Linked DNA regions of Caenorhabditis elegans. The protein of the gene in region 1 interacts with the protein of each later gene in a biochemical or structural test. Each region holds a gene or a part of one and is shown on either strand. Other genes may lie near its edges.

Region 1 (3,755 bases):
ATCAACAACTTATCAGTTGATGACTTTTCTCTAAAAAAATTATCCACGGAGATATGAGCTACCAAAGTAAATTAGGAATATTGGCCATTCAATGCTTCATTATAGTGCTATTTTAGGATCTTTGAGAGCTCGCCGTGAACTTGGTTCTGGAGATTCGCAGCTAAAAATTCACGAGTAACCGTTTTAAGACATAGGCTATCGAATGGCATAGGTTTCATATGCAAGTCCGATGGGCACCTTCTGATGGTTCCCTAGTAAGCCAATCAGTAAGTTTTGGCCTAAGTCATAGCCTAAGCCTAAGCCTAATAAGCCTAGCTACCGCTCGCCACTTACGCCAAGCCTAAGCCCAAGCATATGCCTAATCCTAACCCTATTCCTAAGCCTAGACTATGCCAAGCCTAAACATAAGCCGAAGCCTAAGACTAAGACTACTTACATCGTACTCCTGTCTCTCGTGTCTCTTCTCCAAATCGTACTTCTGAGCCTCCAACTTGCAGATTCTTTGATGAAGCTCCTTGATCTTGGCCTTCATATCATTTGGAAGAATGGTGGAAGCCTCGGCGATCGACTTACGAATACCGGCCATGGCGACCGACTTAGCCTCTTCCTGTTGTTCTTTGGTCATTCCCATCTCTTGTTTGGCCTGCACGATGTTTCCGAAACGATCTCCAACTCCGGCGGACTCTTCCTTCTTCTGGATGACAAAGTTTCTTCCACCCTGTTGTCCTGGGAATCCTCCACCCATCATCTGAGCCTTCTTCAGCTTCTCCTCTTCCTTCCTCTTCTTCTCCTCTTCGGCACGAGCACGACGCTCCTGCTCCTCCTTCTGTCTACGTTCCTCGTCGAGACGCTTGCGCTCGGCAGCTTCACGCTCTTCTTGCTCTCTGGCGAGCTTACGCTGAGCTTGCTTCTCCTTCAGCTTCTCCAACTCTTCCTCTTCCTTTTCACGTTCGGAGCGACGAGCCTTCTCGTAGTCTTCCAACTTGGCCTGTTCGTCGTTCTCGTGACGTCTCTTGGCGGCGAGCATAGCCTTCTCACCTTCATTTAGAGCTTCTCCGCTGAAAAATGCATATTGTTAGGGTAATTTATTTTTTCAGAATGTGATGATTTAGTAGTGTCTCAGTGATTTTATAGGGTTAGATATTTGGCATTAATTAATTTTTTTCAATTTAGGATAGCAACCGACATTTTTCAGGGCAAATTGTTTTTTAATGAGGCTTTGAAAAAATAAAATGTTCCGGATATTGAGATCTCTCTCTCATTGAGATCTCGATTTCCGTTATATGTCGGCTGCTCTTATTCCTACACTAGCCATTGAAAGTGTGCAGCCGACAATTGAGAAACCCGAGGTTTGCCAGCTGCCTTCTACAAATTGCCGGATCCCGTATAATGTCGGCAGCTCATACTTCATAATGACAGTCAGTAAAACTTTGCAGCCGACATCTCGAAGGTCAACAAAAGTGCATGCCCGACTTCACATGATTTTAATGATATTTTGGTCCCGTAATATGTCGGCTGCTCCTACTTTATACAAAAATACAGATGTGTTCTCATCGGATACTTCGATTCGTCGGTTGCTCATTTAAAAGTAAACTATTTCCAAATATCTGACCCTCTAACCCACTCCAATATTGCATGGATAATGGAATTGTGAAAAGAAAGAAAAAAGTGCAAACAGTGATGCCGTAAGTGTATGTGCTTGAGTGCGAAGAAAATAGTGTGGCCGAGCGCGGAGACGCAGGCTTTTCAAAAGTTTTTCCACTCAACAGTACTAGTGATTTGATTAGAGAGATCACGGCGGTCTTGGATAAGAAAAGCCTAGTAGTTTTTACTATAAGATAGGAAAGAATTGAAAAAAAGAAGTACTCGAAAGAGACAGGAGCGTGCGAAGAAGCAGCCGGTGTTGCTGGACCACCGGTTGCCGTGGTGTCGACAGAAGCTCGCTTGAACCTTTCTTCCTCTTGCTGCTCGGTGTCCTCCTCCTCTTCGGCTTCAGCCTCCTCGACCTCCTCGACTTCCTCCTCTTCTACCTCCTCATCCTCGTACTCGGAGCTGGAATTTTAAAACTTGAAATATAACATTTTTTAAATTTCAACTCACTATTCCTCGTCAGACATGTTGATTGGTGAATTGGTTGTAAAAAAAACCCCTGAAAAAATGTAAAAAATCAAAAGTTAGGAAATGAAACATAAATTGGAAGCAAGGGGAAGAAGAGCAAGTGTTACATAGTGTCTTCAAAGTTTGCCCACCCCAATGAATTCCAACAAGTGGTAGTGGGGAGGCGGATCTCGAGTTTCGGTGGGCGTACAGTGTATGTTAGCTTTCTTTTCTCATCCCGCAAACTGCGCAAAAAGATCATGGAAACATGAGAGAGATTTGGGAGAGTATCCTGGCAAATCGCGGGTAAGCTCTCTTGAGAGCTACCTGTGTGTACAATCATGTCGCGATCGGTGATGTGCTCTGGTGGAGACAGGGGAACTGGTGGTAAGTGAGCAGGAAAAAAAGTCAGGAAGTGATGGTTAGTCAAGGATCTGAAATGGCTAACTCATGGATTTGGATCAGAAATTTTAAGGATTCCCCTCTAAATTCAATGCTTACAAGGGAAGTCGAAAAACTGAACCCCGGACTTTGACATGCCATAGTAATTTTTCGATAAAAGAGTGAAAATGATGATCTCTCCAAGAAATTTAGCTGCCCCGGTCCAGGTTCAGCAAAGTTATGACGTTTTGAAAGTGGCTAGACCACCTTTTTAAAAAAATTTCAAAAATTTCAAAAAAAAATTTTTTCTTCTGAAAAGTGGAAAAAATATCTGTAAATGATTCAAAACAGCGAAAAACATATGCCATGCAAGTCTTAGCTCATAACTCTCAAGAAAACCCATAAATTAACCTATTAGGTCAGTCAATAAGTTTTGTCGCTTTTTCTCATCTTTGATTTTTTCTTAGATATTTTTTTGTGGTTATATAGAAGACTGTTAGTAATGATAAGCCCAACAATATCAGCCATATCGGACTACTCCCAGATATTTTAAATCTCAGAACTGTGATGACGAAAAAAAAATTTTTTTTTCGATTTTTTTTTATTTTTCGGCGAAATGAAAAACTTTATATGCCCTGATGTATTAGACAGTCAGTTGAATAAAAATCTGCAGTTGACGCCCCATGCGTATCTTTTTGGTGGCGCTACACTCCTTAAAATGGCCAAAAATGCTTGCAAAAATGACTTTTTAAAGTTTGAAGGGCGCTAACTTCCGGAACGTGCAAGATACAAAAAAGTAATCAATTACAACATTAATAAGCACATCAATTACTACATTTTATCAGTTTACCACTATTTCCTATCTGTGCCCGCTGCTAAGTTACAGTCAGTTGAAACAAGCTAAGTCCAAGTTTCAATAAACACCCTTTTTCCAGATTTTCGCCTGTAACTCTAAAACTACTTGTTTGACAAAACTTTTGTCAAGAGCTGAAATAATTAAATTTTTATTTTTCACATTTTTGTAGTTGAAAATTTTGTTATACATAAGGTTTATGCAAGAATATTACTCATCAAAGAAAAAAATATGCGTAGTTTTTTAAAAATGGAAAAATACTCCAAAGTTCTATTTTTCTCTCCACTAAAGTAAAGCTGATAAATGAAAGTATATGCAAAGTTTTAGTTAAAAGTAACTTATTCATTTTCAAAAATGTTTAGGCCTTTTCCTCTGAAAATTTTTTTAACGAAATTTTTTCACGATGATTTTTGAAAATTTTTAT
Region 2 (3,744 bases), on another chromosome or scaffold:
TGATAGGAAAAACTTGTCTGATACCAGTTTTTTTTTGTTTATTAGACTCAGTAATATACTAGTACAGTACTTTTGGAAAACTATTGACTTTTCATTGAAATGTGCTCTCCTGTTTGCTTTTCCAAGCTATCAACTTCCCTTGATTTTCTCCATAGATCACGATAATCTTCAAATTTACTGCAGCATTGTATCATAACAGCTAAACTGTGAATATGAATATTGCTGATTAAGTTCTGCACAATTAAAAGAGATATTTTCATGTATCAATTTTCAACAGATGGAAACTTGATCGAAATTTTGAAATTGCAAGAACAGTTTTTTTGGCGTCTGTGGTGTTGAATGTTGTGAGTGTTTCAAAATTGTGTCAAAAATATTTGAAATACTTTTTGAAACGTTATCTGACAAATGAGTTTGTCAAAGCGTCCCAAAATTATTCGCACTATTCTTAGAGCCCAGGAGAGTGATCCTCTCATGTTTTCCTCCCACGTTCTCCTTCACTTATCACTTTTAACCAGACACTCCCTACTACACTTCACACTTCCTTCTCATATTTCTTCAAGGATTCAAACACACAAGTCTGACCACCAAGATTTTATTAGCACACACGTTGTTGACATTTAAATTTCCGGGACCCATCGAAGGAAGAATAAAATGGTAAAAAAGTATTTTACAAACTACAGAATATTGATGTTGGCATATTTTTTTTTGGGGAGGGGGGTTGTTCGGTTTGATGACGTCGATTTGGATGATGTTGAGCAGGATTGAAGTGATGGATTTAGGAGTTTACTCCTCCTCCTCCTCCTCTCCTTCCTCTTCCTCTGCAAGTTTTCAGTTATCGAGAAAATCTAAATCATTTTTGACAAACCGGCTTCTGGCTCAGCCTCGGCTTCCTCTGCAACTGGCTCAGCTTCTGGAGCAACGGCAGCTGGAGCGGAGTCTTCGGCCTTGGCATCCTTGTTCTTCTTGGACCAATCTGGCTTGTCGTCCTTCTTCTTCTGAAATTGAAATATTTGTTTATCAAAATTCTCGAACATTGCAGATAAAACTTACAACATTGACGATGGCCTCCATAACGTCCTTCTTGACAATCTTGAGGTTGGCACGGAAGTCTTCCTTGGTTCCGGCCTTGCTCTCACCGCTCTTCTTGAACTTGTTGTCGTACTTCGACACCTTCTTGAGTGAAGGCTTGACGCTGAAAAATAAAAAGTAAAATCAATACTTTGGATGATTTTACATATATGGGAAATTCATCAAAAACTGATAAAAACTCACAACTTTCCACGAAGATCGTTGACCTCAATAGTGAGGGAGTTGATCTCAGCCTCAGTCTGGGAGACGACGTAGTTGATGTCGTACTTCTCCTCCTCGAGCTGGGTAAGACGAGCCCAGAGGTCATTGTAGATCTTCTCGAGTTGTCCCTTATCATCAATGGAGTCAACATTTGGAAGTGAGATGGTTCTGTCAGCAAGAGCCTTTTGTCTTTCTTGCTCCTTAAGCAATTGTTGTCTCTTAAGATCCTCGGCGGCCTTGACCATCAAAAGCTTCTGAAATCAAAAATAAGTTAAACATTTAAGTGTTCCAAAAACACAACTTACACGAAGCTTCTTCTTACGCTCTGGTGTCAAGAATCCCTTCTTGGCCTTCTTCTTGTTTCCGGCCTCTTCGAGACGCTTGCGCACCTCGGCCTTCTTGGCCTCGCGCTCGGCAGCTTTGCGCTGGGCGTCCTCTCCGGCTTCTTCACTCATCTGAAATTTTAGTTTGGGGTACAAGTATCACAAAACAGAAGATTAAATTCACAAAATGAATAATTTTTGAATGAGCATAAAACAAATTAGCGGCGAGCCTGATCATGCATCCGAAGGCCTTGTGAATTGAAATCTGAAGTATCCTGCCAATAGATGTCGCAACTCGTGAGAGGTACCTAGAGTTGGCAACAGCCGCCCCACAAACCGCCCGCCCTCCAATTCTGTATCTTTGGGTCTCTCGGACAATGCCATACAGACAGATGCTCTTTCCAACACGTCTCCCGCTTGTTGTAATGATTCTTGCCTACCAATTGCGTTGGCCGAGATTGATTGAAGACAAGCGAGAGATAGGGATAGAGCTGTGGCAACTTCAGTGGAAAAAACCAACGGAACGCGGCAAGAAGATATTGGTTTCAGATGGGGCAGTGGGTCAAGTTATGAGCTATTCGGTGAATGGGGCTCCGAACAATTTATGAAGCTAGTCTGTAGTTTTTCTGTATTTTCAAAAAGAAGATATGTGATCAAAAATCAAAATCGTACTACTAAAAATACCTAAACAATTTTTAAAATAACATACTGATTTTTCAACGGTGTCACTGAGTTCATCAATTCGATTGCTTTTTTGTAGTTGTGACATGGCTCGCTAGTGAGATCTGTAAATATTTGTTGGATAAATTGTTTCAAAAGTGAATTGGAACATGACATTTTTCATCAGAATCAAGAATAATTTTATTTATTTTTTCACAGTGTTTTGTTTTCAACCATTTCTCTTTCAGTTCCATAATTTCATGCTGTCACGTAGGATTTGAGTAGGTCAGAAAACAAAAAAACCTAAAAAAAAATTGACAAGCTGACAAGTGTGACGTGTGGAAAAATACAATAAAAATAGTCACGGTGGCCGGTGAGACTCTCTTGAAATTCAATATGTTAGGGACCATGAGTTGAAAGTGTTGCGAGGTGTGGGCAGATGTTTGAGATTTGTGATAAGTGATAAAGAAAAAAGATAGCGGGGATAATGAAATTGGGTATGCAAATCATCATTAGTTATCACAAAAAGTTGAATATTATTACTTTCAAATTGAATTTATCAGTTGTTATCATAAAGTAGTTATTTTTGACAAGACTATAAAATAAGTGAATCTAAATCATTAAAAAAATCACACATTCAAAAATCAGATCACAACGAGAAAAATCTACATTTTCCAACAATGGTAAATAACAACCCGAAACTTGTAAATAAATTCCAATTCCCTGTAACTATTTTCACACCCATTTTAGTTTATGGAGTAGTGATGGATTAAACCGATCTATTGTCCTGTTTATTTTTAACACTTTTTTCCATAAACATTCACATTCTTATCTTGAATTGTTTTCAACTGTGTTATCACGCTTTTCTGCCAATCTCCGAATAGTTTACACTGTTTTCTTCTGATGCGGCAAGCTCTATCTTTCTTTTGATACATTGTTCATTGCAACGAGTATATAGAGAAAGAGAAACATCGGAAGAAGATACAGAAAAATAGCTGATGGAGGCGATGATGATGTTTTGGTTAAAAACGTTGAGCAGTAGTGGGGGCACAAGTGTTACGAAATATTATTATACATGAGCGGTTGTCATATGGGTAAATTAATTGGCACTACCGAACTTTTACAGCTTACAATTTTTTACTTTTAGAAAATTATTTCTTGATTGCTATCAAGGAATAATTTTCATTAGAAGTAGTGTCCTCAGTGAGGTATAACTAATAATGAGCTAAATTGGGTATAAATAAAGTAATATTGGAACTTGATCACATAATCCCTGTTCAGTTGTATGTATTGGAAGTAGGTGTTGGAGCTTGCACAAATTCTCGAAATTATCCTAAAAACTCAAACTTTCCGTAAACAAAATTCACCACAGCTTCGCATTAAAATTTTTTAGAAATTCAAAAATCCTAGGAGTGTTAAATTATGACATTTGGTTATTTTGGACAAGTATAAGTGAGAGAAGGAAAAATGT

What was found. Proteins that work in one complex are often made in the same cells at the same time.
Region 2: the proteins of tnt-4 (region 1) and unc-27 interact in far-western blotting, tested with the Caenorhabditis elegans proteins (one study listed by BioGRID).

Annotation. Positions count from the first base shown.
Region 1 is NC_003283.11:1,990,770-1,994,524, forward strand, and holds the start of tnt-4 (Troponin T, skeletal muscle), read right to left. Parts: upstream 2,145-3,755; 5' UTR 2,118-2,144; coding exon 2,101-2,117; intron 2,053-2,100; coding exon 1,867-2,052; intron 1,059-1,866; coding exon 437-1,058; intron 1-436.
Region 2 is NC_003284.9:8,787,457-8,791,200, reverse strand, and holds unc-27 (Troponin I 2), read right to left. Parts: upstream 1,746-3,744; coding exon 1,596-1,745; intron 1,545-1,595; coding exon 1,273-1,544; intron 1,193-1,272; coding exon 1,051-1,192; intron 996-1,050; coding exon 866-995; intron 819-865; coding exon 784-818; 3' UTR 580-783; downstream 1-579.